Linked DNA regions of Rhinolophus ferrumequinum. The protein of the gene in region 1 interacts with the protein of each later gene in a pairwise test. Links are inferred from orthologs where the notes say so. Each region holds a gene or a part of one and is shown on either strand. Other genes may lie near its edges.

Region 1 (15,188 bases):
GGGGCGGGGGTGGGGGACTGGGATGTGGGCTACAATGACCACACGCTGTCCTAGCAGGATGGTCTGGCCAGTGCGAAGAATGGATTGTAAGCAGAACCAGTCCAATTTTAAGGGCCCTCTTTAGGAAAAAGGATACAAAGTTTGTATGAAAATGAATATGGATTGAGAAAGAGAAAGAAAAGCACAGCGGATTGCTGGAGCCCTAGAGACTGGAGTCCATTCTTCTGACAACATTTGGGAAGTTTGCCAGGAACACTTAGTGGAAAATGCTTCCTAAGTGTAACCTGGATGTGCCCCTCACCCCAGAACACTCCATGACGCCCAGCAGCCCCAGCGCCACACTGGCCGAGGAGTGAGAGGCCTGAGCGGAAGTCTCATTACCTACACAGGAAAGCCACCTCTGGCTAAGAGAGAAGTGGGGAGGCCAGCGGAGGGGCGTGGCATGGCCTAGGCCATGTTACACTTTAGTTAGGAGGGGTCTCAGGGATTGGGGGTGCTGAAATAAAATGCTGCCAAGAGTGCAGGCTCCCAATGGGGTGGGGCTTCAGGGAGGGGGAAGGGATCAGTGAGGGAACAGGGGCTCAGCATTGGCAGGCAGCCAAGGGCTTGGAGCACGCTCCCTCGGGGACCCTCCAAAGTGAGTGACGCTAGGATTTCCTCCCCTCTGCCCGCAGAACGGGCTCTCACCTTCAAGGCCAGGGCCAAGGAGGGGCCCTCCAACCCTGCTGAGCCTCAAGCCCCCTCCATGGCCCACCCCACACTTCCTACCCCCTCACTCTGGAGCCTGTGCTGATTTGCTAAATGGCATGGCCTGGTCATGGGAACCAGCAGGTCCAGCCAGAGCCAGCCCAGGCCCCCGGACCAGGTGGGGATTAAGACCCAGACATTGTTATCACAGCTGGGAGGCTGGGCCTTGGCTGGACCAAGTGGACCCAGGATGGGGCCTGAGAGCGGGGGACTCCATGTGGCGATACCTATGGCTCCCCCTTGGTTTTTGAACATTTCCCTCCAGATGTGGCGTGTTCAGTCAAGGGGCTTGGAGCTAGACTACCTGGGTTCAAATGAAACTTACTAATGGATGTGACCTTGAGCAAGTTACTCTCTGTGCCTTGGTTTCCCCATTTGTTGAGAGGACAGAACAAGATCATGGAAGTAGGGCACTTAACCCAGAGCCTGACCTTGGCCTCCAGTGCCCCTCGCCCCCAGAAGGGACTGTGACTCAGCCTCAGCCACACCCTTCTCATGTGAGGGGTCAATGAGCACATTGGAGTAAGGGGACAGGGAAGGAGGCACTGGCACAGGCCACAGAAGCAGGAACCCATTTCTGGGGAGGAAGGGAATGAAGACGTCCCCGCCTCCCCCATGTTGTCCACCCAGGTAGAGAAAGATGAGCACATTTGCATTTTCACTGGCCGCTCTCTGTTGAGGAACTAAAACTCTGTCTCCCTAGCCCTCAGAACAACCTTGTGAGGAGTTGATTATTGTTTTCTCTGTCTCCCCAAAAGAAAATTCAAGGCTGGAAGAGATTAAGTTACTTGCTCAAGGTCACAGAGCTAGTAAGTACAGGAGCCAAGATCCAAATTCAAGTGGGTCTGACCCCAAAGCCCAAGCTCTTATCAGCTTACTACCCTTTATTACCACTCCCATGATTTGCGTATCCAGCTACTTAAGACCTATTCGTGCATTTTGTAGGGATTCCTGAGACCCTACTACATGCCAAGCATTGTACTGGGTACTGGAGACACCGGGATTGTTAAGACATAGCCCTGCTCCCATTCTGGTGGAAAGTTTATTGGTACAACCCTGCAGCTTTGGGATGTATCCAAGGATGAAAGCAACTCCTAAGTCTACTCGGAGGAGTCAGGGTAGGCTTCTCCAAAGTGGTGACAGGGGTGCAGAGTTTGCTAGGAGGAGGAAGGATCCAGACCCAAGGAGTCTCACCCGCCTTCATCATGACTCTACTTTAAGAAATATAAAGATCATTTTAAGTCGTTGAAGAAAAAGCAAGAAAAAAGAGTGCATTGGCTCCAGACATCCAGGGGACGCCTTCAGGAGTCAGGTCCGTTTATCCAGCAGCTGAAGTGATGAAATCAGTTATCTCTCCTTCTCTATCATCTTTGCTCTCCTGTCCTCCATGTTGGTCCAAGTGTTGGCAAAAATGATGCCAAGCTTGCATCCTGACAGCCTGGAAAAATACTGACTCTTTCCAAATAATTCCATCCAGGCACTAAGAGTAGGGGTGAGGTTCCCCAAACAGAAACTGGATACTGTTACCAGAATCCGGGAAAGTGACACTGGCTGACAGAAACCATGTCCCTTAGATTATCTCATGGGACTAAGTCTCTTCCTTACCTTCAGCACTTTGTCCATCTCCCTGCAAAATCCTGAAACCTCCTTCATCTGTAGGATGGGAAAAGGAAAGGAACTCACCCCTGAACACCTACTAAGCACCAGGCATATTTATCCACATTCCTCCTATCAAATCCCCACAATGAAGCCACAGGGAGGTACTGCTACCCCCAGGTTACAAGAGGAAACTGAGGCTCAGGGAGAAGTGACTTGCCCAAGGTAACAGGCTGGCAAGTGTCAGAGCTGGATTCACCACGGATATTGATGTTACTCATATCTGTGCTTGCCCCAGCCCCGCCCCTGCTACAGTGTGGGGGGGCTCCCACTTCTCTGTATTGATTCACCCCCTGTCCAGCCCCGAGCACAGAGCCCCCCATACAGGAGATGCTCAGGAAATGTGTTGAACGGACCTGACTCCGAGCAGGCATAGAGGAGGATGGAGAGAGGGGCAGGAGCAGAGCTAGATGGCCCCGGGCGGGAGTGGGGCGGCTTCTGAGACTGCTGAGGAAGTGGGCACCCTTCTGTGACCTGAATGTACAACTTCATGCAGCTGCACATCTGGGCACCCCCAGGCTGGGCCTGACAGTTCTGCTCTGACCTGGCCCCAGTGGAGCCTGGCAAGGGGGACGGCAGTTGGACAGACAGATGCTTTCTGTCCTCGAGGTCTCTGGGCCCCGGGGACTTCAGCTCAGGGAGCCTTGTCCCTGTTCTCAGATCTAGCTGTCGAGCATATGGACCATGTGAGCAGAGAGCACTGGAAACCAGGCGAGAGTGATGTAAGAATAGCTAGCGCTACCATCCGTGGGACAGCGACCCGAGGCCCCGAGGGTGCCTTTTCAGTGCCTCTGTCCCCAACAGTTGCAAAGGGAGGGATTCACATCCCCATTCAAAGGCATCCAGCCCAGCTCTCCTATGTTACAGGTGAGGAAATGGAGCTTCAAAAAGGAAAGGGACTTGGCCAAGGTCAAAGCCAGCACCCGAGAGCTGGGAGTTAAGCCTAAGTCTGACCTCAAAATCCATGTTTTCCCTACTGCCTCCCTCCTCCTGTTCTCATGGCTGGCTCCTCCTCGTCTCAGCTTAAAGGCCCCCACCCACCCACCCAGAGAGGCCTGCCCTACCCTCACCTGCACCCCTTATTCTGTCTCAGTGCTTTATTCATTCACACTTCACCACTGGTAAGTATTATATTAATTTTCATTAATATCTCCCCTATCTCCCTGTAAGTTCCATGGAGACAAGGATTGATTGTATCTGCCTAGCACATAGTAGGTGCCCAATTAATGCTTGTTGGATCAAAGCCCTCCTCCTACTGTTGGCAGCAGGTGCCATGCTCCCCTCCCCTTCAGACTGGACAGCAGCAAGTGTCCCCACTGCCTTGGGCCTGCCCCCAAACCTATCTCCTACCCCTTCCCGGCCACCCAGGGTCTCAGCTGCCACAACCCTAAGAGAAGATTGAGCCCTTGCTCAGTTGCTTGGAAGAAAGCTGGTCCGAGGATGGCAAGGAGGGAGGAGGGGAACAGGGCCTCTGAGCTGGCAGACAAAGGGCGTGTGTTCTCATCCAGCGCACTTCCTGGGTTTCCATTGCAGGAAGCTTGGCACCTACCAAGGTGACACTGACACCTGGGTTGGTGCGGGAGACCCTTGGCCAGGACACTCCTTTCTACCTGGGAGCTGCAACAGAGGTGGGACAGGCAGCTGGGGGTGCTGGACAGCAGGTAAGTGGTGGCAGCCAGACCCCCACATTCCCCTTTGACCTTCCTCCTCCTGAGCCAGTCTTAGCCCAGAAGAGATAAGAGGATGTCTGGGTCCAAGACTGGGTCCGTGTAACCTTGGACAAGTTCCCAAGTCAACTCTTTGGTGCCTCATTGTCCCACGGGGGGCACAGTGAGGTGGCTTGGGGGAAATCATGGAGGTGGGGGAGGGCAGCTGCATTTTTCTGTTTTAAATAAGCTTCTGGGTCACAAAGCACTTGAGAAGGGGGTTCTACAGCTCAAAGTGTCTGAAAACCCCTGGGTCTCACCTTCCTCCTTAAGGTCCTTCCCATGTCTGGCGTTCAGCAGTTCCCTCCTTCCTTCTGGGGGAGGTATAGCGAAGTCTCATTCTAAACGTTGCAAAGTGGGAGGCACCACTGCCAGGCCAGGAATGAGCCCTACCAGGTGCTCTGGCAGCCTTGAGTGCGAGTCTCCCTCTGCCTCAAGAACTCTGGCTGCTTCTCTGAGCCTCAGCTTCTGAATCTGGGGAGAGTGGCAGTCACCCGGTCCCTGGGACCAACAGAGCCGTGAACCCAGGGGCACCTACTAGTCTGGGCTTGAATCCAGCTCTGCCACTTGCCCCTTGTGTGGCCTTGAGCCTCTCTGGGCCTCACTTTCCTCATTTGTGAAGCAGGAATAATCAGCCCCACTGCACAGGGCTCTCCTGGGGATCAAATGGAGAGCAGGCCTGTAGGCCGGACACGGCTCACAGGAACCCCTATAAATGGCAACCACTGCTACTGCTGCTGTTGTTATTGCAGAGTGGCTGTTACCGGAACCCCAACATTTTGTTTTGTTTTTTGAATCCACCTACCTGTGCGCAGTGGCCCAAAGAAATGCACGAATAGGTGTTTATAGTATAGAAAAAAAAAATAGTTTAGTATCGAACTGGCCAATATGGAGACAGGGAGCTTATGCTCAAAAACCTGACTCCCCAAGGGTGTGTAGGTTACAAATTATATAGGAAAAAAATCACAAGACACTGTGGGTTAGGGGGTGCGGGCTCGTGCTGGGAGCTGATTTGTGGGAGGTGAGGTAAGGGTAGTCTCTCTGGCCTGATGGGAAAGTAGCCAAAGGGTCGTTCCACTCAGGGCTCAGGAGGTCAAGACGTCATCTTAGCTGCCAGACATCCAGATTGACCATTGGTCAGGTCTCGGCTACTGTCTTCTGGTGCCTCGGGGTTGCTGATTATCTGCAGGGAAAGACGAGTTCTCTGAGGGGACCGAGGAGATTGAGAGAGAGAGATCTAGAGCTAGGATTTAAAGCTAATTTTAATGAAAGTCATAGAGACTCTCAGTTTCAGCTGTGAGGATCAAATGAAAAAAGGATGACAAAAAGTGGGTGAGGTATTTAAGGTGGGGTGAGGGTGGAAGAGCGTGGGACAGGGTTCAAGGCACACCCCTCAGAACCCCCACGAGCGTGAGCCCCTCAAAAGCAGCCCAAGGGCCACCCTGAGCAGCGTGACTGCAGCTTCGGGCCAGCAGAGGACAGCCACACCATGCCTGGCCTCCCCCCAGATGGCGCAGGGTCCAGTGCTCTTCTGGCCTCAGCCACTGTGGCTTTAATCAAAAGAACAATCTGTTTGCCTCTGAATCAGACCCAGATTCCTTTTCCCAGCAATGTTCCCTAGGCCTCCAGGGACTCAGGCGGCCCATCCCGGCTCCATCTCCCGCCCCAGGGCCCAGGCTCAGCTTCCCCTCCCCCCTGCATTATCTATCCACTCCAGCTTGGAGGTGGGAGTGCAGGAGGTGGGAGGGGGTCCATGACAGGTGACCTGATTGCCTGCTGGGCCTTGCCTACCAGACCTCCTGGAGGGGTCTGTCCCCCCAAGGACCCTGGGACCCACCTACAGAGGGCTGAAGAGTTCCAGACAGGTAGTGACAGCTCAGGACACCAAATCCAGGTGACCTGTTTCACTGAGGCACACCCTAAAAAAGCCCCAAGCCCAGCATATATTGACCATTCTCTGTGCTCTCCTCACTGTCATTGTCATATTTTATCCTCAGGCTGACCCTGACAGGTAGGCAGCCATACCCCCGGTTTTACAAAGAAACAGGCTACTGCCCAGGTAGTTAGTGAATGGCCATGGAACCCACGTCTAACTGACTCATAGGACCTTGGGAGCTTCCAGGCCAAACTGAGGTGTAAGCGCCCCTTCCACCTGACAGGGCAGGTAGGGCCACCAACCCAGGGGGAGAGGGAGAATAAAGACCACTCAAGGTGCACAAAGGACACGGGGTGGGTGGGTGTCAGTGGGAGAGCCCTCCCACCCGCCAGGCCTGGGCCGGGGGAAGGGAGGAGGGGTCGAGGGAACAAAGAGAGGGGGAGGGGGCAGCGCGGGGCGCGGCCGGCCAGGTGGGGGGGCAGGTAGGGGCCGCTTCCGCCGGGCGGGAATCCCAGGCCCCCTCCCCCAAGCCTCACCTTTTATGGTAAGGCGGCCGGGGCTGCGGGGCGGAGGGAGCCAGGGGGCGGGGAGGGCGGAGGGGCGGGAGGCCCGCGCTCCTCCCGGCTCTGCTCGCTCTGGCGTCGGACCGGAGCCGGCTGGGGCGCGGGCGGCCCAGGTAAGCGGGGTGGGGGTTGGGGGGTTCTCGCCCATCAGGCCTTGCCCTGGCCACACACAAGTGACAGTGCGGGCAACCCCAGGCCGAAGCCTACCCCGCCCCCAGCCGGGACCCCTGCCCCCTGGAGGGGGCTGGGGAACGGGCTGGGGGTGGGGGCTATCCTTCCGTCCTCAGTTCCTCCGTTTCTGTCCCCGGAGTAGGGGGTAGGGTTGGTGTCCCTGCCCAGGAGCGGAGCGCCAGGGGCGGGGGTGGGCAGGGCGGAAGCTCCCGCACAAAGAGGACAGACAGCGTCCCGCACATGGAACGAATTAAAGTCCCTGGCGGTGCCCCATGGTGACCCGGCCAGCCGCCCTGCTTGGCTGCTTGCGGGAGGGCGCCGGGTTTCTGGAGCTCCGGGGACCTGCGGGCCCTTTTACCCAGCTAGGGTTAGGGGAGGGGCAAGGAGGGGGGCCCCAGGGCTGCCCCTCTCTGGGCCTTAGACCCCATAGGTGTTTGGGACAGGGTGAGCCTGGGCGATCCCCAAGGTGTGTGCTTGGTGGCATGGGTCCTCCTCCTGCCCAGATCTGAGGACCCACGGAAGACGCTGGGCGGTGTGCCTAGATTTCTGTTCTTCATAATGACAGAAGCTAAGTCCTGGGCCTCCTAGGACCCCCAGGAGCCTAGTCCCTAAGGGTTCCTCTTCCCCCCCAGGGGCTGAATAACCAGCTGGCCTTCTCTTTGCACTTACTGTACCAAGATCTTGAGCACCATCTTTCCTTTTAGTCCCTCAGCCAGCCAGCGGTCAGGACAGACCTCATTATTCTCACTTTATAAACAACCTGGAGCCCAGAGAGGTTCTGTAACCTGCTCAGTGTCGCCCAGCAGGAAAGCAGTGGGGCCCCTGTAAACCCAGCCCTGTGCCTCCTCCACTTCCCTGGAGTGGGAGACAGGGAGGGGGAACACCTATCTAAGGCTGCAAGGTCCCCTGCGGTGGAGGGGGGTAAGGGGTACAGTCACACCTCCCCCTCCCTCAAACTTTAATTCCAAACCAAGCATAGATTGCTTATAGAGTATCAAAGAACAAAGCTTAGGGGCTGTTCCAGAGTTTTGGGAAGGGGTTAGAAGGAATAGGACAGGGGACAATGGCAGGGGTCACTACCGGTAGCCCCTGGAGGCCCTCCCACTCAGCCCGGCCGTCCCTGCCCTGGGCTTTAGCTTAAAGCCGGCTGGGTGTCTGGCTGGCTGGATCTCAGCCTCCTTCCTTCCTCTTGACAGGAAATGACTTTCCTTCCCTTTGTTCCCACTTTCTCTGCTTACCCAACTGGATCTCAGATTCACCCTCTGAGGGAGGAAGGATGGGGGTGGAGGGTCCTCTGGGTGCCCCACAGGGAGTTTTCTCACATGTACCCCACTCCAGAGTAACGTGGGGGCAGAGGGACCAGAGGGAAGTTGAGCTTCCCTTTCCTGCCGGTGCCTGACTACTGACCCAACAGACCAGGCTTTGAAAGTCCCCAGCTTGGCCCCTTCCCTTGGGGCCTGAAGTCCCAGCAAGAACCGCAGGGAGTGTGTGTGTGTGTGTGTGTGTGTGTGTGTGGGGAGGGGGGGGTGCCCAGCTGTGAACATCTGGCGTCAGCACTGGGAAGCTTGCCTTGGATGTTTTCCGAGAAACCGCCAGATCCAACTTCCTTAAGGGGTGGAGTGAGGGTCAGAGCTGGGTGAGAAGGAGGTAGAGGGGGCATCCACAGAAGTCTTGGGAAAGCCCAGAATACACTGACCACAAGGTGATTGGTTCAGATTGGGGCATTCTGGGGTGAGAACAGGCCTGAGAATTTGGGGCCCCCATGCCACCCAGGGATGAAAAGGTGTGTCTCAGGTCCTAGGACACCCTGTGGACGCAGATCAGATAGCGCTCCGTTAGAATTCCTAGTCTGCCACGGATGGCCTGTAAAAGTCATTTAACCTCTTGGGGCCTCACGTGGTCCATCCATGAAGTAGGGGCAAAACGGGCTGTTTTGAGAATTAGATGAGTTTTGAGACATGGAAGGCCCTGGGGGCACAGTGCATGGCACACAGCGCCTGGCACAGCCAATGCTTTATCAACCAGTGCCCTGTTGTTTCTTATATTTAAATCTCAGATGCACTCTGAAAGTTGTTTACAAAAATTGATAATTAAACTTGTAGCAAACGTGGGGGCAGAGGGACCAGAGGGAAGTTGAGCTTCCCTTTCCTGCCGGTACCTGACTACTGGACCCAACAGACCAGGCTTTGAAAGTCCCCAGCTTGGCCCCTTCCCTTGGGGCCTGAAGTCCCAGCAAGTCCCAGCATAAAACCAAAGATTATGACAGTCAATATAAGCGTATACACTTCCAGACATCACATAAAACAAGACACAAAAGAGAAATATTTTAAAGAATTTTGAAGCTTTCTTCATAGATTGGTTTCTTTTTCAGAACAGATATTTTATGACCAGACTGAGCTATACATTTTAACCAAACATATAAACCAATTTAGGAGAAATTTACCAGCATATGTTGTTTTTGTTGTTATTGTCCATCAGTCACCAAGATTGCCCAGGGGGCCAGTTGAAATTCATACAGAGGGAGGCCTTGGAGTGGCCCTCCTTACCCCTACCCCTACCTATCCCACCCCACTTCTCCAGGTTAATTCTCTAGGTCCTTAATTACTCTCCTCCCCGCTAAACCGGGTGGTCAAAAAAGAGGCTGAGGCCAGAGGAGTTTGGACTTGACTTGAAAGTGGTAGGGAGCTATGAAAGACTTTTGAGTAGAGGAGAAACAGCTTTACACTCTGCAAAGATCACTCCAGGGGCAGGGTAGGAGGCAGGTTTGGAGCCCACTGGGGCACCTGCCTGAACCAGGGCCATAGTTTTAGAGACGGGACAGAGAGAATCCAGCAATAGAATTAGGACCTGATTGGCTATGGAGGCTGATGGTGGGGAAAAGGATGCTGGCTTGTGGACTGGGCAGGGAGAAGGCTCGGTTCAAATTCCAGCTCCACTGCTGTATGACCCTGAACAAGTGAGCTCACCTCTTTGTCTCCGTTTCCTTATCAGTAGTGCCTCTCCCCCAGCAGCGCTGGGGGGATTTATGGGTTAATGGGCAGAAAGTGCTTAGGCCATCGTGAGCACAGAGTAGCTCTTGGTAACCAGCAGCTCTTATTGTTCTGTCTGCTCTGCCTCCTGGAGGCCGGCCCTGAGGCTGTTTCCCTCCCACAGCGGAGCTGGGCTGAACCTTGGGGACTTTAGCTCTCCCAAGAGAATCCTGTTCCCAGGTGAGGGAGGTACCTTAGGGTGTGGCCGTTGCAGGGTCGGGTGGAGCTGTAGGCGCTGCTCCTTCCTCACACTTCTTGGAAGAGGAACATGAATCATTCCTTAGGGGAGCAGGGTAGGGTTGCCCTTTGCTCCCCCAGGTGTGCAGGTTGGGGGGAGGGGCAGTCAGGCCTGTTGGGATCCATACCAAGTCACTGGGTGGACACCTGCCCTTCCCCAAAGGACCTCGCCAGCTCCTTCTTTGGCTGCGTTGGGTGTCGCTGGCATGGTGGGGTGTTGCTCCTGTCTTGCTGGAAAGAGGGAGGCTCCATGTCCCCAGGTGGAGGGTCAGTGTGTCCATGTGGAATGCACCCCCATGCCCCGAGCCTTGCCTGAGTCCAAGTTCCACTCTGCTCCCCACCCCACCAGGAGCCGAGGCAATGGCCTCAAAGCCTGAGAAGCGGGTCGCCTCATCAGTCTTTATCACCCTGGCACCCCCACGTCGAGATGAGGCTGTGGCTGAGGGAGTGAGGCGGGCAGCTTGTGAGGCCCGGCCTGGCTGCCCCTGGAAGTCTCCTGCCCCCACGAAGGCACCTGGTGCTGGCTCGGCGGGGAGGCCTAGTCCCTGGACACCCCCTGGCAGGGCTGTGGCCACAGTGCCAGCTGTACCCCCTCAGCTCTCCAATGGAGGTAAGAGGGTAAGAAGTGGGAGGGAGACTGGGTCTGAGGCAGCACTGAGATGGGGAGGAGAGGGCAGGCTCTGAGGTCATTCATTCATTCATTCATCAAGCACCTACTATGTGCCCGGCAAACTCTGGAACCCACCTGCCTGGGTTTGAATCCTAGTTCTTCCACTTCTTGGCTGTGTGATATTGGCAAGCCACTTACCCTCTCTTCCTCAGTTTTTCTAATCTGTAAAATAGGGATAATGATAGTACCTTCCTCCAAGGGTTGTTGTGAGGATAAGATGAATTAATACATATGTTTAGCTCAGCACCTGTCACGTAGGAAGTGTTAGATATGTTACTTGCTGTTATTGTTCTGGGCCCAACAGTGGGTACTTGAAAAGAGAGACAAGGTTTTCAGCCTGCATGAAACTTACATCTTACTGGAAATAGAGACAATTAAATATAAAATATAATATCTAGAAGACACAAGTGCTATACAGAAATAAAATACAGTGAATAAGTAAGGAGGTGAAAGTTTTCATAGGGTGGTCAGGATGGCTTCTCCAAGGAGGGGGCATTCAGCTTAGACCTGAATGACGGTGGAGCTGGCAGGCCGAGGTGGAGCTTGAAGGACAGGGGGGAAACCATGTGCAAAGACCCTGAGCAGGAATGCATTCGGTAAATTGAAGGACCTGAGAGGCGATTTTATTATCTCTCTGGCTCTTTTGTTCTTTTGCTGTGTCATCTCAGACAAGCTGTTTCCTTGCTTGGTTCCTTCCTCTGGAAAATTGAAATTTGGTCATGTGAGTGATGCGACCATCACAGAATGGATACTTCACAAATGACTGCTCCTTTTACATGTGCTTGGTCTGAACTGGTCCTGCTGCCATGGTGACAGAGAGCGTTCCAGTCCTCTGTCCCTGCCACTTCCATGGAAAGTCTCAGCTGTTGGGTTGGGTGGCAGCAGTGAAGCACGACAACCCAGCGGCGTGAGGCAGGGGGTTAGCTCATCATCTGGCAGGGCATCAGCTGGAACAAGGAGTCACTGAGATGCTAAGTGTGAGAGACTAGCCCAGGATGGCAGCTGAGCCCCCCGGGCTCCCCCAGGTGCCTAGTCAGACATCCTGCTGTCCTTAGCGAGGCTAGGCAGCCCTGTGCAGCCATCACCATGGAAACCACCTAGAGACCAATAGGAAATGCCAATCACAGGAGGTCAGAAAGGGGCAGGAGAAGGAGCCACACATGAGAGTGCACGGATATTCATTATGACGCAACCTACATTGATCTTTCCGTCCTAACCATGCAGCCTAAGAACACAGCCTTCTCCAGCTGCTTCTCCGTATAGGAAAACCAGGATGGTGATGTCCCAGATTTACACATCAGGACGTGTGACCAATGGGGGGAAAAAAGTCTCTTCTGTGTAGCAGAGGGAGCTCAAGAAATATTATTTTGATGCCAAAATGCCAAAATTTCCAGGGCATTTCCCTGGAATGATAGGCAGAAGATCCCGGAAGTCTGGGAACAAAACCAGACCTTCCTCAGAGCGGGTAGCCTCACCGTCACTGATCAGCCATTTGTTTGCCAACTGGGAGAACTCGAGCCAAGCACAGCACATCTTGGGGTTCAGCCTCGCTCGAGTGAGATAAGTCCTACGTGAGCAGCTTGGTCATGGCCTGACCACAGCACAAAAGCAGGCCCTGGGGCCCTGCCAGCTGTTTAAAGCCATCTCTACAGCACGCTTGCATCTGATGCCTCTTCTAGTGCTTACGCCCTCAGGAATCCACCCACATTTCTTTAGCCCTTTCATCCTGGCAGAAGTCCACATCTTCCACACCCCCAGGCTTCCTCCACTTGGCCCTGGACACTCGCCCAGCCACACCACCTCTCTCATTCTCGGGCTTCTCTTTGAAAGGCTGCTCCCCGTCCTCTTGCTCTCAGCCACCTGAGCCGAATTGTGCTCGTTCACCCCCTTTCTGCACACCTGCCCCGTGGCCCCATGTCCCTCACTCTTGAATTCCTACCCGGGCAGGTACCTGCCCACCCTTCACAGCTTGTTCTCTACGGCCTAAGGCAAGTCCTGGGAGAAGCCTCAGCGCTCCTGCCCTGTCTCCTTCCCCTGGCTCCTGATCCACATTAACTCATCTGGAGCGCGGTTCTTATACTTTAGTGGTGTCAGCATATATCACCCCCCCCTTTCAGCTGGGGTGGGGGCTGTTCCAACACAGCCGGCTGGGCCCCACCCTGGCTGTTTCTGACTCAGCGGGTCTGTGGTGGGGCCTAAGAATGTGATTTCTTTCCCATTTCCAAGAAATGTTGGGGCTCTGGTTTGGGGAGCACATTTTGAGAATTACTGTTTAATCCAAAAGCGTAAAGCAGGTGCGACTTGTGGACTAGAAGAGTAGTTCTCAAAGTGTGGCCTTTGAACCAGCAGCATTGGGAACTTTTCAAACAATGAACATTCCTGGAGTTACCCCTCGCCTGCCGAGTCAGAAGCTGTGGGGGTGGGGAGCAGCCGGCTGAGTTTGAACAGGCCCCCGGAGAACAAGCTTCCTGTCTGTACAGTCCCCTTGGCCCACGGGAGAAAGGAGGGTTCATTATCTTCATCAGCGAGGTGCCCCAGTGAATTAGCAGAGAAGGGGACCAGAGCCCAGGCCTTCAGGGCGCAGGGCGTCGGGCGCTTTCCATCTGCTTTCCCTGAGTATCCAGGGCAGGGCAGTCTGAACTTGACGGAGCCTGGTTACCTTGGGCCAGAGCCTGGCTACCTTGGGCCGTAGTGACAGGAAGTGGGCAGATGCCTCCCTGTCCTTTACCCTGAGGCTCTATTAATAGCACTCAGCCTGTATGTGGCAGCGACAGGGTCTTCACAGGCAGATTCATAGCCCTGCACTACTCTGCCCTGATCCCCCAAGGGAGCTGTCAGCCCCTTGTCAGAGCAGCATGGACGGGTGAGAGTTACACGATAGTCAGTTCCTGGATAGCAGAGGGCCTAGGGCTGCGGCAGGAGCGGGGTGATCCCCCGCCCACCTCTCCCTGCCTGCCAGGAACACTGCACCCAAGAGGCTGTGTGCAAGGACTAGCAGGTAGGATGGAGGGCTACCCTCTCGATGTCATTCCTATCTTGTGTGTATGTGTGTTTGCTGTTAGGTTGTTGTTGTGTGTGTGTGTTCTTTTTTAATGAAACTTTCAAACATATACAGAAGTAGAGAAAACAGTACAAGGAACCCTGTGTACTCCACATCCAGTTTCAACAATTACTAAGATTTTGCCACATGTGTTTTGTCTATCCCTCCCTCCCTGCGTCCTTCCCTCCTTTTTTTTCTCCCTTCCTCTTGTGAAGTATTTCAAAGGAAATGCCAGTAATCAGGTCATTTCAGCCCCCCCCCCGATTCTTCAGGGTGCGTCTCTAAATAGGGCCATTTTGTTACATAAGCACAATGCCAAACAAAATCAATAAGAATGCCTTGTGATTATCTAATGCTCTATCCACAATTAATTCCCCTGAATTGTCATAAAAATGTCTTTTAACTGTTGGATTGTAGTGGAATGAATGGCTTACATTATGCCTTATCTTTCTTTTGAGCTATATCATTCAGTGGAATTTTAAACTTTTCCTCATCTGCAAAACGAGAATTAAATGAGATGATTCATCCTTTGAATCAGGATCAAATAAGATCTGTACCAGCGCTGTCCAATAAAAATATATTGTGAGTCACAAATGCAAGCCTGGTATGTAATTTATAATTTTCTAGGAGCCACATTGAAAAAAGTAAAGAAGAATGAAGTGATGTTACTTTTCATAACGTATATTATGCCAGTATGTAAAAACTGTCATTTCCGCATGTATTCGTTATGAAAGTGACTATGAAATAATTAACATTCCTTTTCCTGTCCTGAGTTGTCCAGCGCATCTTAGTGTGGACTTTTCACTGAATAGCTACACGTGGCTGGTGGCAACTTTATTGAACCGCACAAATATATATATATTATATCTGGTTGTTCTCCAAAGTCTCTTCATTCGGAGGAAGTTCCTTCTCTTTTTCTCTCCCTGCCACTGACATGTTGGAGAAATAGGGTGTTTCTGCAGAACCTCCCATTTGCGATGATGGGATTTGAGGACCAGTTGGAGGGCTTAAGATCCACATGGTGGGGCCCCACCCAGGACTTTCTGATTCTGCCCAGCCCCAAAAGGTACATTTCTAACGTTCTCCCTGGTGGTGCTGCCGCTAGTCCAGAGCCACACTTTGAGAACCACCACCTTAGGGGCTGGTTTTGCTTGTAACCCAAGTGTGCCTGAAACCCTGGCAGGGGGCTGGGGCAAGGTTTCAGGCACACTTACACCCAGGTGTGGAGGGCTGCTGTGGCGGGCTTTGACACTGCTGTTTTCTGGCCCCCTTCTGTGCATCATGTCGTCATCTTCACAACAACCCTAAGCAATCGATACCCGTTTTCCAACTGACACTCGGAGAGACTAATATCTTGCCTGAGGACACATATCAAGTCAGTGGCAGAGTCAGAGATGGATCCCAGGTGTGGGTGACCTTAGACCTGAGCCCTTAGCCTCCTCGCTGTACAGCTTTCCGGGCAAGTGGACACCTCCTGTGTTCATCTGCAGAGA
Region 2 (14,504 bases), on another chromosome or scaffold:
CATTGAGTTAAAATGGTGATGATGATGATGATTTTTATTTTTACTTTTTAAAAAGTTTTGGTTTTTTCCTATTTTTTCTTTTTTCTATTCTTTATTTTACTTTATTTAAAAATGATTTCCTGATTTTCTCAGTTCTACTTTAATTAGCCCAGATTCTTCTATAAAGTGCTTCCTATTGCCATCTATTTGATTACTCTAAAATTCAGTCCATATAGGAAAGTTGGGATAAATGTTGAATTCTTTATCAATTTTAAGTATACATTGATACTCTAGCAACTTCCAAAGGTAAACAGTGAGTTTTTATCAAGGGGTTATCTTTACAGATGCTTATGTATTTGATATGTGTCCTTGTCAGTTGTCATTCATTCTTTTTATGCTCAAATTACTCCATCTTTGTCCAGTGGGAGCTCTTTCAAATTGACTCTTGTGTCCCTTAGGTCCCCAGTAGTCTTTATTCTAGGTTCATCTTGTACATTGCCTGCCCTAGACTAGGAATCATTCATTTTCCAAGGAGCCTTGGTTCCTAAATGAGTGTTGGTATTGTTCTATCTAGTTTATTCAGCGCTAGTGATGGGAAGGATTTGGGGTCTCTAATCCACAGTATTGCTAGAAATGAAAGCTCCTTCTCTGTCTGCTCCTGTGTGGTGGGGCTCCCATCCCTTCTCAGGCCTTTTCACCACTTTCAGACCTAGTGTGCCTAGTGGACATAGAACCAACCATGGGGATTGGGAGGTTGATCTTGGGAAACCCAGCCTGTTGGTTACTCTGAAAATTTTTTTATCCTGTCTAACCCCCCTGCCCGCAGGTGAACCAGTGTGTTATTGGTACTGCCCAGGCCAACAGGAAATGAAAACAGATCCAGATCCTGGGGGTTGGGGGGTTGGGGCTGAGAGGGTGATTTGGGGGGGGAAGGGGGGGCACTGTGTTACCTGGACCTATTAAATAAAGAAAAGTTTTTTGGGTTTTTTTTCAAATAAAGGTTTTATTAGCAATTGCTCAAGAAAGGACATATTTTTCACATCTGTAAATATGGGGCTGTGGATCTGTCCACTCTGCCCAGCAATTTGTGTTTTGCAGTGCAAAAGCCTGCACTTTGCTTTTCTCCCTGACAAGCTGTACCCTGAGTGGCCTTCAGCTCCCATACTTTCCTGGTTGTCCACACCTACCATGTTTCCCGGAAAATGAGATCTAGCTGGACCATCAGCTCTAAGCCCTAATGCGTCTTTTGGAGCAAAAATTATAAGACTGGGTCTTATATTAATTTTTGCTCCAAAAGACACATTAGAACATTAGAGCTGATGGTCCGGCTAGGTCTTATTTTTGAGGAAACACGGTAAGAGGTGTGCCCACTAGCTATCCACAGCCACTAGTTGTTTCCCCGCTTGCCACAGGCCACCCTAGCTCCGGAAAGGTGGCCACCTGAACCCAAGGACGGGACTGACACACCCTCCCATTAACTGCTGGCTCTTTCCTCCCGCCCTTTCCCGGCCTTCGCGTTCGAACGGCCAGGCCTGGCCCTGCCCGCTGCCCATTGGCTGGCTCTCGGCGGCGTCACCGCCTGGGTTCTAGCCCTCCTTGGTCGGCGCCCCGGCCCTGGAAGTGCGGGGCGGGGCTCACGCCCGCCGAGACCGTCGCGCCAACAGCCAACGGCCGCCGCCCCAGAAAGGAGGGGCTCGGCCCTCCCAGGTGCCGCGCGCAGGAGGGGTCACGCGTGCGCAGAAGCTAGGGGGGACAACTTGCCACCTAGAGGGTGGGGCGGGGGCAAAGGCGGGAGAGGAGGGCGGGGCACTAGAGGGAGGTGGGCGCGGAGGGGGCATAGGGAAGGGTGAATGGAAGGCGGGGTCGTGAACTGGGGTCGGGGGCGGGACTTGGAGTGACCATGGAGGTTGGGGGGGCAGTTAACGGATGTGGCATGGGGCTGGGGCCAATCCGGAGGGCGGGCTGCCGGGAGGCGGGGGATTCCCTCCTGCCCCCTGGGCGGGTCTCCCTTCCGAAGAAGGGGCTTCGGGGATTCCCTTTCCCGCCAGGTCAGACTGTCCGCCCGCCCCACCAACGGAGAGGCCGCCGCTGGCTCGGCGCCCTCCAGGCCTGTTGGAGGTGAGGGAGGTGGGGTGAAGTAGTGCCCGTCCCCCCGCCCCCCGGCTCCTCCTTCCCCCCAGTCCTCCCCTCCCACCACCCTCCCCCCGAGCCAGTTTGTCCCTCCCCTCCCCTCCCCTCCTTCCCCCCGCCGCCTCCTCCTGCCGCTGCCGCTGCTTTGGCTGCTGCGTCATACGCCCCAGAGCCGCCGGGACGGAGGGGCTGGGCCTGGGGACCCCCCGGCCTCTGCCTGCACGCCCCCCGACGCCCAGACGTGCCCTCCCGGCGCGGGGGGTTCGCCTCGGTCTCCCACGTCTGCCTCTGCCCAGCTCCCGGCGTCCCCAGCTGTCACTGGTAAGGAGGCGGCGGGAGGCGCTCGTGGTGGGGGGGGAGCAGGGAGCCGGGGGTCGGCGCGCAGGGCGCCAGCGGGAGAGCCTCGTCGCCCTGGCATCGGGTCCGGCTGGGCCGACTGAAGTCCCCTGTTGGACTCGCGGTCGTGGGTAATAGAGACTGGGACTGGGACACGCCCCCCTCCCGGGGCACTCAGGGAAGTTATCTAACCCGAGGGCAGGGAGCCCCGAATTTGAGGGCGACCTGACATAACCTGACATCAGGATAATTGTTCTGAATGAGACACGCGGGCCCAGGGAGGCAGCTGTTTCTACTCTGGAAAACATCGCTGGAAAAGCTCCCAAAATACATCTCTGGGTAACAGAGCACCCCAATTATGATACCTCTAAACAGCAGGAGAAGGTGACAGTAGAAACTGAGTGGTAACCTTTGCTTCTGCAACCATTGTTTCTGCTAAAATCTCAAGGCCAGGATATAATATCCCAGGGGAGGTCTGGAAGCTGGGAAACTAGAGAACTAGGTTGGGGGTGGGGGGGGCCGTTAGGGAGAGGAGAGGCAGTCACCAGAGTTGGGAGAGCTGGAGTCAAGAAGCTTGGGAGGGGTGCTGATTGGTTTCCTATCCAGGTGTCTCAGGGATTTGGAGACTGGTGGGGGGGGGGGGTGTGCAGCTGCTTCAGTCCTTGACAGAAAAATAGGCAAATAAGGAAGGTTTCTTGGCTTTCATAACCTTCTCCTCCCATTCCACTTCTGGCTAGGCCCCCCCCAGGATGCAATGGCACAGCCTCCCCGGCTGAGCCGCTCTGGTGCCCCCCCACTTTGGGACCCAGCTTCCCCTGCTCCCACCTCAGGCCCCAGGCCTCGACTTTGGGAGGGTCAAGATGTGCTGGCCAGATGGACAGATGGGCTGTTATACTTGGGGACCATCAAGAAGGTAAGACCCTTCTGACCTGTCACCTCTCCCCATTCCCCTTATCTAATGCTGATTCCCATTTCATCCTCTATGCTCACCCATTCCAGGTGGACAGTGCTCGGGAGGTGTGTCTGGTCCAGTTTGAGGATGATTCCCAGTTTCTGGTTCTATGGAAAGACATTAGCCCTGGTGAGATCTTAGAGGCCTGGGAGTGGCTTCCCATGGAAGACAGAAACCTGGCTTGGGGGAGAGAAGGGGACCTAAGGACAGGTTCCTTGACACTGTGTTCCCTCATAGCTGCCCTCCCCGGGGAGGAATTCCTTTGCTGTGTCTGTCGCTCTGAGACTGTGGTCCCTGGGAACCGGCTGGTCAGCTGTGAGAAGTGTCGCCACGGTGAGAGGGCAGGACACCTGAGTGGTCCAGCTTGCCCTAGGCCCTCTGGGCGGTCTCTGACCCTTCCCACCAGGACTGGTCCTATGCCACCTATTCTGGCCTCCGTCCCCAAGCTACTGCTCTGGCCAGTCTCCTTGAACCTATAGTCTCACTCCCTTCCAACATAGGAAAAGGCAGCCATGGAATGGGGCTGTGTGAGCTTTGCAGGCAGAGGGTGGTTCAAATACTCCCTTTTCAAACCATAGGACTTTGGGCAAGTCCCTAAACCTTTAGGAGCCTCAGTTTTCTCACCTGTAAAATAAGGGTAATACCCCTCCCCCTCCCCAGGACCATGGTCAAGGATTAATGAGATAAGATTCTTCCTATCCTGATACCTAGCACACGCAGGTTTGCAATGCAATAAATGCTCTACCATCGATAATATCATTCTTCAGCTTATCACCAGGACTGCCATGTTCCAAGGGCCCCAGCCCCAGGAGAGGGAGAGGGCACATCCTGGGTCTGCCGCCAGTGCATCTTTGCCATCGCCACCAAGGTAAAGGCATCTTCCTGTGGGAGCCTCCCACCCACAGCCTCTCCCGAGTCTTTCTCTCCCCACCCCTCTGAAGCAGCCTGCCGGTTCTCTCTCTGCAGAGGGGGGGTGCACTGAAGAAGGGCCCCTATGCCCGAGCCATGCTGGGCATGAAGCTATCTCTGCCATATGGACTGAAGGGGCTGGACTGGGATGCTGGACATCTGAGCAACCGGCAGCAGAGCTACTGTTACTGTGGTGGTCCTGGGGAGTGAGTAATGAGGGGGCGGGGTTAATGAATGAGTGACAGTGTGGTGGTGGGGGAACCCCAGGGAATGGAGAAAGAATGGTGAGGGGAGTGCTGAAGGGGGTGGGAGTAGGTGGTGAGCAGGGTTGGGGCAGTTAAGGAGGGAGTGTCTAGAGGTCACCAGTCCCGTGTCCCCTTCAGGTGGAACCTGAAAATGCTGCAGTGCCAGAGCTGCTTGCAGTGGTTCCATGAGGCCTGCACCCAGTGTCTGAGCAAGCCTCTCCTCTATGGGGACAGGTGAGACCAGGGCACTCTCCAGGAGCCCAGGGGGCCCTCTTGTTCTCCCCACCCTCTCAGTTCCCCCACACCCGCCTGCCCCAGATCCATTCTCTTCCCAACCTCTGGAGTGTTTCTCACTGATTCGCCCATCCTTGGGTGCTTGTGAGTCCTCCAGAGCATGGTATAGTTTTCCTGTCTAAGGTATGTCCTCTCCTTGCTCACATCCAGGTTCTACGAGTTTGAATGCTGTGTGTGTCGGGGGGGCCCTGAGAAGGTCAGGAGGCTACAGCTTCGCTGGTGAGCTGGATTGGGCATGGCCTGTGTAACTCCTCTCTCAACACCCTGTTTTTCACCCTACCTGCCCCAGCCTCCCACTCGGGACTCCCCTGGCTTTTGTAATGCTTCCACAACCTTGACACCTCAGTGTTTCTCCAGGGTGGATGTGGCCCATCTTGTCCTCTATCACCTCAGCGTTTGCTGTAAGAAAAAATACTTTGATTTTGACCGTGAGATCCTCCCCTTCACCTCTGAGAATTGGGACAGTTTGCTCCTTGGGGAGGTAAGGAAGAGTGAAGGTTTGGGTGTTAAGGTGGAACAGGGAGATGTGAAAAAAAGGGAGAGGGAAGAATCAAGCTCCCTTGAGCCCATTTTCCCTCCCTTCCCCCAGCTCTCAGACACCCCCAAGGGAGAACGTTCTTCCAAGCTCCTGTCTGCACTCAACAGCCACAAGGACCGGTAAGTTGAGGAGAGGCTCAGAAAGAGATGGAGGTGTGGAAATGGAAGCCTGGGAGGGGAGGCACTGCAACTCAGCTGGAAGGTCATCCCTGGAAAGGGCTGAGTAGTGGCGGAAGAGTGATGGCAGCACTGACCCTGGATCATTTTTCTTCTCACCCCAGCTTCATTTCAGGGAGGGAGATTAAGAAGAGGAAATGCTTGTTTGGCCTCCATGCTCGGATCCCTCCTCCTGTGGAGCCCCCTACTGGAGATGGAGCTCCCACCAGGTCACTGGTCCAGGGGGGATGGGGAAATTCTCAGGGTATTAATCGGGGTATATGTATGGAGATGGGGAGGTCTTTGGGGTGTCCGGGAGGGGGCTGGGGGGATAAGGAGGCCTCTTACAGCTTCCCTTCAGGGCAGGGCCCTGGGGGAGGGGTCTCACGTCCCCTGGGGAAGCGCCGGAGGTCGGAGCCAGAGCCCCTGAGGAGGCAGAAGGGGAAGATGGAGGAGCTGGGGCCATCCTCAGCAGTGCGCAATCAGCCAGAGCCCCAGGAGCAGAGGGAGCGGGCTCGTCTGCAGAGGGCACTGCAGGTACATGGACGGGGAACTCCATGGGCAAATGGTGGCATGGGAAGGAATCAAGGATTCTCTCTCAGTCCCTTCCTCATCCTTCTAGGCCTCAGTGTCTCCGCCACCCCCCAGCCCTAACCAGAGTTACCAGGGCAGCAGCGGCTACAACTTCCGGCCCACAGACGCCCGCTGCCTGCCCAGGTCAGTGCTCCTCCACCCTCCAACCGGATGTTCCCTTAGAACCTCTCCTCCAATTGTACTTACTCTGGATTTTCTCACCAGAATTCTTGTCCCTCCTCCCCTTGGCTACCCACTGCCTGTCCTAGAGACTTCTAGAACCAGTGTCTGGTCCCCAGTGTCCTGGGGATGGGGTTCCGTGGGGGCAGTGTTTGAGCTCTGCCCCTCTCGGGGGGAGCATCCTGTTCCCCCACGTCAGGTCTTGCCTCTCCTCTCCCCAACCCCAGCAGTCCCATCCGGATGTTCGCTTCCTTCCACCCCTCTGCCAGCACCGCAGGGACCTCTGGGGATGGTGAACCCCCAGACAGGTGAGATTCTACCCCTTTACCTGTGACACCCCTCTTCGCCTCTGTTCTTAAGATCCTCAGTCTCCAACCATTTCTTCATTCCTCTAATCCACTTGTGGCCTCCATTTCTCGTCAGTCCTTATTGTGTCTGGACTCACAACTGCCTTTTCTCCCTAGGTCACCCCTGGAACTTCATATTGGTTTCCCCACAGACATCCCTAAAAGTGCCCCCCACTCGATGACTGCCTCATCTTCCTCAGTCCCAGCCCCCTCCCCGGGTCTTCCTAGACGCTCAGCACCCTCTTCTTCCCTGTGCCGTAGTTTATCTCCTGGGACTGGGGGAGGAGTGCGAGGTGGGGTTGGCTACCTGTCCCGAGGGGACCCTGTCCGGGTCCTTGCTCGGAGAGTTCGGCCTGATGGTTCTGTGCAGTACCTGGTTGAGTGGGGAGGTGGGGGCATCTTCTGAACAGCCTGCCTCTACCCACCTCCCCATTCACACACACCGGCACTTTCACACCCTGACCTCTGATCTCACCTACAGCTGGGATGTACCTGGGGAGGTAGGGGGTAGTTCTCCCTACTGCCTAGGCGGAATCCAGGTTGGGGGGAAGGGGAAGAGGCTCTCTCTTCTCTTCTCCCTTGATTCCTGACCCTTCCATCCCTCTTCCCATTTCCTTTGATGTTATTTTGTTACAGCTTTTAAAATATTTTTAAAAATTATTTAACCCCTGGGGATGGAGACTGAGGAGGGGAGGGATAAGGATCCCAGACTCTGTATGACTGAAATAAAGATAAACAAATCTAGCAACTCTTGAGTCATTCTGAAAGATGAGAACAAAGGCACTAGAAGCACTGATCTTCCCACCCAAATTCACATACATGACAAGAAAAGGCAAAAGCCAGAAAGAACCAAAGATAGGATTTATTAAGGGCCCACGCATCACCTGGAAGTCAGAGAGCACTGCAGTCTATGAGGGAATATGGCAGGAGCAGCGCCGGCTCATCACGGCAGGGCTGTGCTCGAGTCAGAGCCTGACTCCGTAACCTGGCGCACCCAGTGCAGGTACGGGGAGTTTCCCTGCTCCACAGGCAGCGCGATCACCTCAGCCACTTCATAAGGGTGCACAGAGCTGTGAAAAAGATGGGGGGGGTCACTCAAAGATTTACCCGAAGGAGCCCAGCCCCTCAGACTGCCCAGCACGTCCCACCCATCTCAAAGTTCTCACCGAACAAAATCTGTCAAAGCTGGAACCAAAGAACTTTGTGTTTTAATCATCTAAGGGACAAAGAAAAACATGGCTGAATCAAGGGGTGGGATTGATTTCAGGATCTCAGATGAGGGGTAGGGGTCCAAGGGCTCAGGGAACTGAGGTTTTGTGGGGTGGGGGTAATGTTTCTCACCATCAGCACCTCACTGTCTTCCTCAATCTTTCCTTTCCACTCATAGCTGAAAAAGGCAAAGAGAGTGTTGTGGGAGCAAAAGTTTTCCCCAAGAGAAAAGACTGCCAGCCAGCCCCCAGTTAGTTTAACCCCCAGTCCTATGACTCACATGGATGTAATCTGAGGGATGAGGTTGACACAGGCTGCCAGGCGCTTCTCCACCACAGCCCTGAAGGTGAAGAGATAACCCCATTCAGAGCAAGCACCCCATGACCCGAATTTTTGCACTGCCAGCCCCGAAGCAGCTGGAGCTGCTGGAGCAGGGAGGAAGCAGCGGGAAGGCAGTCTTCTTCCCCACCCCCAACTCCCTTCCTGCTCATCCTCTCTCCACACTGGGGTCCCCACCTGGCGATCTCCTTGGCGACCTTCTCGTTGGGGCAGGTGACAAAGGCTGCAGAGACCGAACCAGGTACATAGTCAGAGCCCGAGGCCGGCGGAGGCCGGAACGGGGGGCTTCCTGAAGCCATGGACAGCAGGGCTCGGGGTAGCAACTGAAGGCGGGAGGCCAGAGGCAGCAGCGCCGGCATCCAGAGAAGCGACAGGAGCAGAGCGGCCTGGTAGCAGGAGGTGAATTCGGTGTCTCCCCACAAAATGTCCCAGGAAACTGCGCCCACCCCAGGAACTCTTCGCTTGCACAGACACTAAGGCTCTGCCCTGCCTTTTCTGCACCCGGAAAGAAAAGGTCCCTGAAGCTGGGAGATAAACCTGAAAAATCAAGGCAAAGGCACTGTTTTCACTCCCTCCTCAGGGGCCAACCTCTTTGAGATTTTGGGTGCGGGTGGTGGTCGAGGCTTCGAGGACCGGAAGGGGCGGGGCCGGTCACTCACCCCTCCGCCGAGCAGGATTGCGGTAGCCCGCACCCCACTCATGCAGCCTATGTTGGTAGAAGAGGGTTGAATATCAAAGGTCACACGTAACGTCGAGAAAGGACCCCAAGCCCAGGAAGAGCGACCTCTTACCTGGGTGGCAGCAACGTGATAAGAAAACAGCGCACACCACGTGAGAGTAGACGCTGGACCACCCGAGTCTCCAGAACCAGCCAATCCGGCCCTCACGTAGCCCGATTTGCCCCGCCTCCTGGTGAGGGAGGAGCGAAGCGGGAGCTGACCAATCCACAGCCAGATATTCAGCGGTAAACGGCAAGGGCACGCCTGTTTCCGTGTAAACCGGAAACCGCCAATTGCAAGCGGAGGAGAGCCGCTGCGCCGTTCCACTGTCACGTGAGGGGGCCGGTCCCTTGGGCAGCGGTACCTCAATGAGTGACGCGAAGAAGCCAATCGCAGGCCAGCCCCGCAGGCCACGTGATGAGAGACCTGGCGCTAGGAAAGTGGTGCTGGAGACACCGCCGACTGGATGCGTCAGGTTGTGGAGTGAAGAATCATCTTTAGACCCCAGAGAGTGCCTACCGTGTTTCCCCGAAAATAAGACCTAGCCAGACAATCAGCTCTAATGCGTTTTTTGGAGCAAAAATTAATATAAGACCCGGTCTTATTTTACTGTAAGACTGGGTATAATATAATACCGGGTCTTATATTAATTTTTGCTTCAAAAGACGCATTAGAGCTGATTGTCCCGCTGGGTCTTATTTTCAGGGAAACACGGTAGTAATAGCTCCTACACTGTTCCCAAGGCCTGGATGGAGGAGTAGGAGGGTCTGAGAAGATTGAACCTCGGGGTGAAGAGAGCGCCCCCTGCCCTTTTGGTTAGGACTGACATATGCCTGGGTTTGGGAATGAATAATGATAATCTGAGGAGAAGCCAGCTGTCCCTAGGTAGGGGGGCGTGATTAGGCAGGCCCCAGCGTGGCAAGACGATGGCTTGGTGAGGAAAGATGCATTTTAAAAGGACAGAGTGAGACCCTGTAAATGGGATAGAGGATGATGAAAAGGAGGCTGAGGGCGGCTCAGCCTTCTTAGCTGAAACCCCAAAGCTGGAGCCAGACTGGTGAATCGGGGGAAGAGGAAAGATGAGAGCTGCAGGTTGGGATATGGAGAGGACACCAGGAAGTGGTGATGGTCCTTTTGTCCCTTACCCCCTTTTTATGTCACTCTCCAGGACTGGTCTACCTGTCAGCCTCGGGTTCCCTTCCCGTAACCCATCCCCCTAGGAGCCAGGACCTGTCCTACATAACCTCCCTTGGGCCCAAGCACATCCAGTGACCCAAAAATGGAGAGAGGGGCCAGAGAGAGGAGAAAGAGGTAGGAGGAAGCAGCAGAGAAAAAGGCTCTTGCCACTCCCCCTACCCAATATTGCCCCTCCTTCCAAGGTCTGGGGTCTCTGGTCAGCTGGGTGGGTGTGATTGGGCATTTCCCAGGCTGATGTCAGAGTTCTCTCAGACCTACCTCTCTGGGATTGGGGTCTACTCGAGAGCTCTGTCTTTGGGTTGGAGTTTGTCTCTGAGATAGATCGCTGTAAGATCTTTCAATGTTTGCATTGGGATCTTTCTTAGGACTGGGTTTTCTTTAGGATTTTGTTTTGGGGTTTCTGTTTCTGGGTCTGTGGTCACTCTCCAAGGTCTTTTGAACTTTATGAGTTTGGGGGTGCTGAGTTCTCCATCTCTGGGACTAGTTGAATTCTCTCTCTCTCTCTCTCTTCCCCTTCCCCCCTTTCTCCCCATCACCTCCAAGGTCTGGAATTTTCTGTCTCTGAGTTATCAGTCTCTGAGTGGGCAGTTTCCTTTCTCTGAGATCTAAATCTGGGGTCTCTGATATCTCTCTCTGAGTTCTCTAATTCTAGGTCTGGGTTCTTTCTGAATCTGGGTCTCATCTTTTTCTTTGAGTCCTGGCCTCGGGTCCTGGTCCCTGAAATCACCATCTGAGTCTAGAGTCTAAGATTTCTGTGGTTATGGAGAACCTTTTTGAGGCTGGAAACTCAGATTTTGACCTTTGACCTCTCAGGGTGGTCTGGGGTTTTTTTCCCCTCCCCCTGAGATTGAGGTCTATTTTCCTCTAGATTTTGGATTTGTGCCTCGGATTAGCCCCCCCCCGGGGGGGGTGACAACATACCTTTCTCTGTGGGTCTGGGGTCTGCATCTTTAGAACTTCCCTTTCTCTGGTGTTTTTGAGTCGGGGGTCTCTATCTCTCTGGTTCTCACTGAGTAGGGGTGGGGGCTGCAGAGTCTCTCCTCCTCCTCCTGCTCTCTCCTCTCTCGCTCACTCCCCCGCCCCCCTCTCTCTCCCTCTCTCTCTCTCTCTCTCTCTCTCCCGGCTGCCGCCGCTGCCGTTGGTTCCTATTCTCCTCCTCCTCCTCCTCTCTCCTCCTCTCTGCTCCTCTCTGCTCCTCTCTCCTCCTCTCTTCTCCTCCTCCTCCACCTCCTCCTCCTTCTCCCCCTCTCTCTCCCCCTCTTTCTCTCTTCTCTTTCTCCCCCGTCCCCCCGCCCCCTCCCCCCAGGCCTGATGAGCAGGTCTCGCGCGTCCATCCATCGGGGGAGCATCCCCGCGATGTCCTATGCCCCCTTCAGAGGTACGGTGGTGAGGGAAGGGGGAGGGCCAGTTGGGGGGGGGCAAAGGGGGGAGGGGCAGGGCGGAGGAGGGGGCAGAGCCGGGGCCAGGAGGGAGAGAGGAGGGCTGGGAAGACAGGGATGGGAGCAACGGGAAGGAGGGATTGGAGGCTAGAGGATAGGGGTAGATAGGGACCGGAGGGGACAGGAAACTGGCCTTGAAGGGGGCTGAGGTGAAAATGATGAAGGGGAAAGAGATCGCCAGAAAGGGTGGGAAAATAGGATAGGGTTGGGGGGAAGAGCTGCAGAAATAATTTGGAGGTGGGAGCTTAGCGATGAGGAAAATATCAAGGAAACAGAAGGACAGAGTCAGGAGACGGGCTAGGAAGGAGAAAGGAGAACGGGTGAAAAGAGAAGCAGTAGAATATTGTGGGGGGGCTTAGAGAATGGTAGGGGGTAGAAAAAGAGGAGGATGGAGGGAGAGAAGAAGGGGCCAGATGGAGAGAGAGGGAGGCAGTGGGGGGGGGAGGGTCCAGATGGAGGGAAGAGAGGAGAGGGAGTGGGTTGGGGGAGGAGAGACCAGGGCAGGGGGAGGGCCAAATATGTGTGTGTTTGGTGTGGGGGGGGCAATATAAGTAAGATTGAGCAATGGGAGTAGAGAGGCCGGTTAGACTGCCCCGGACTCTGACCCTCATGAAGGCCCTCCACCGGTGTAATGTAACCCCTGGGGTCTTACCTGCTCCATTCACTTCACCACTTTTACCCCCTCCCCCACCTCCAATCCTTATTTCCATTCCCCCTCCCTCCTCTGATGTCCATCACCTATATCTTTCCCCCCATATGGTGTCCGTTCCTTATATGAGTCCCCCTTCTGTCCTTCCCCTATATCAGTCCCTTCTCTGGTGTCCCTCTCGTTCCCTCTCTTCTGCCTGGTAGCTCCTACATGTCTGCCTCCTCTTCACCCCCGCCTTCTTGATCCCCTGGTCCTACTCCTCCTATTAGCTCCACCTCGTTTCCTCTGCTCCATGTCTAGTGGGGCCCTTCTGATACTTGTCCCTAGGGATTTACCATCATTCCTGCCTCCTCTTCTAGATCCATCCCTTCCATCCCTGTTACCTGTCCCCCAGCCCACCCTCTATTCCCTACCCTTCTCCCCTTCTTGTCGCCACAAGCCTGTGATATCCAATTTCCCCTAATGCCCCAGCTTTTATCACCCATTCCTCTTTTCTTGTCTCTTCTACTTTCTGGGGTGTTGGACATTTGGGGTGCAAAGACACAGGTTTTGGTGGGTGGATCAGAGCCTACAAGAAACCCGCCTCTGAGCCCTGTGGGATTTCTCATCCTAGTACCTCTTGCCCCTTTCTCAGCTGTGTTCCTCTATCTCTTGCATCTGCCTCCAGAATTTTCCTTACTTTAAGTCCAGACAGTGTGTGTGTGTCCAGAGTTGCTCCTAAGCTAAGTTCTTGCGTGCTTCCCTGCTCCCAGGGAGGTGTCCCCTGAAGTCTAACCTGCCTCCCAGTGGCTGCAGCCTGGAGCAGTCCCTCCCCTAATGATGGTGTGTATCAGCAGATTTCTCCTCTGGGGGTCCTCAGAGTTTGAGCGCCGCGGGCAAGTTGCCTGCAGTGGCCGCACTCTCAGAGCCTTGGTGATTTCTGTATCTAGAAGGTATTCGTTAGAGTCTCCGAAATGGCATTGAGATAGTGAGACTTTCCAAACATTGGGGTTTCTAGATGTCTGTATTCTGGGAATTCATCTCTGACTCTGATCTACAGGTTGGGTACATTTGAGGCACATGTTTGTAGACAGAAAAGGGCTAGAGTTTTCAAAACTCTCCTATGCAGGACATTCAGTTGGAAAGAAGCTCAAAGACCAGTTCTTTTCTTGCATTATACTCCTGATTAATTATTCTGTAAAGATAACAGAATTTGATGTTTCTTGCTCTAAACTCTCACACTGTGATACCTTAAGCCTATTTTCTATCACTGATTTGATTTCTCTCTCACTTCCATAGGGTCTGTCCCCTGTGTCCCTGTGATGGTTTGTGGCATTGGGGTTTAAAGGAGAGGAAGTTTGCAGGGATGGGGTCGCGGGAAGAAGAACAGCAAAGTGGGGAAGGTGACCCTGGGGGCATTTCTGAGCATGGGCGACCCTTGGCCTACTGTTCTTTTCTAGAAGTTTTGTCCCCGTGCCCAGCTTTAATCTTTGGAGGCTCCCTCTATGTCACAGGCCTGGATCTTCCATTCTTCCCTCCCCTCTTCCTTCCTCAAACTCCTCACTGTGCCTTGGGAAGGTTCCTAACCCATGGAGACTTGGTGGGGCAGGTGCAGTATTGAATCTTTGATCTCAGCATGGAATGGGGGAAGAATCCAGTCAGTCTCTGTTCATTCAAACAAGGGCATCTTTCCTACCTCCTCGCTCCCAGTCCCCCCACAGCCAAATGCTGACAAGACCCATCCTCCCCCTACCACCAGAAGAACCAGAACTTTCCCCAAAGGATGAGCAGGGTTGGGCTAGCAGAGGAGGGAGCAAAAAAGAGAAGTGGAGGGGAGGCCTGCTCATGTCTATGGCTCTGAATAGATGAGCTCCCTCATCCATCTCTTTTCCAGATGTTTAGCTCTCAGAATCCCATGACCGAAATGTTTCTACACCCCCAGTCCATCCTTCTTTCCCACAGGTGTGTGGCTTTCCTCTTATTCCCTTGCAGGTGGGTCGTGCCACCTTCCAAGTTCTTGTCTTCTGCAGTTATTTGGATGCCCTCGTCTTCCCAGACACCTGCCACCAACCCCTCTGTGGATTTTTCTTCTGCCAGTTTTGCTGCCCTCACCTTTTTATTTTTTTGAAATGGATGGAGAGCTTTCACCTTTCTCTGCCTCCAAACTTGTATGCTCTCTATCATGATATAATTCTCCTCCTGTGCCACCCCTCTATATTTCTTCTCCCAAGTCCACAGAGCCCCCTGTGATGCGATTCCCCTCCCCTCTTTTACCCCAGATATAGAAGCTTATCTTTGTTCCTTTAAAGTCACCCCCAATTTGATCTCCTCAAGG

What was found.
Region 2: the proteins of FBLIM1 (region 1) and CUTA interact in binary tests that used the Homo sapiens proteins (3 or more experiments, as listed by UniProt). The two-hybrid records come from large-scale screens. The link is inferred for Rhinolophus ferrumequinum from reciprocal best matches to the Homo sapiens genes FBLIM1 and CUTA.

Annotation. Positions count from the first base shown.
Region 1 is NC_046292.1:10,557,115-10,572,302, forward strand, and holds the start of FBLIM1 (filamin-binding LIM protein 1), read left to right. Parts: upstream 1-6,251; 5' UTR 6,252-6,273; intron 6,274-6,567; exon of another isoform or gene 6,568-6,661; intron 6,662-10,020; exon of another isoform or gene 10,021-10,041; intron 10,042-10,098; exon of another isoform or gene 10,099-10,194; intron 10,195-10,334; 5' UTR 10,335-10,345; coding exon 10,346-10,595; intron 10,596-15,188. UniProt on the Homo sapiens protein: Serves as an anchoring site for cell-ECM adhesion proteins and filamin-containing actin filaments. Is implicated in cell shape modulation (spreading) and motility.
Region 2 is NC_046286.1:3,724,071-3,738,574, forward strand, and holds CUTA (protein CutA), read right to left. Parts: upstream 8,996-14,504; 5' UTR 8,978-8,995; intron 8,893-8,977; 5' UTR 8,888-8,892; coding exon 8,846-8,887; intron 8,573-8,845; coding exon 8,364-8,572; intron 8,188-8,363; coding exon 8,128-8,187; intron 8,026-8,127; coding exon 7,980-8,025; intron 7,855-7,979; coding exon 7,805-7,854; intron 7,709-7,804; coding exon 7,582-7,708; 3' UTR 7,485-7,581; downstream 1-7,484. Other genes in the region: kinesin-like protein KIFC1, read left to right, coding at 806-850; PHF1 (PHD finger protein 1), read left to right, coding at 3,200-3,358, 3,445-3,526, 3,635-3,730, 4,165-4,265, 4,364-4,512, 4,690-4,785, 4,996-5,064, 5,203-5,326 and 6 more; SYNGAP1 (ras/Rap GTPase-activating protein SynGAP), read left to right, coding at 11,414-11,480. UniProt on the Homo sapiens protein: May form part of a complex of membrane proteins attached to acetylcholinesterase (AChE).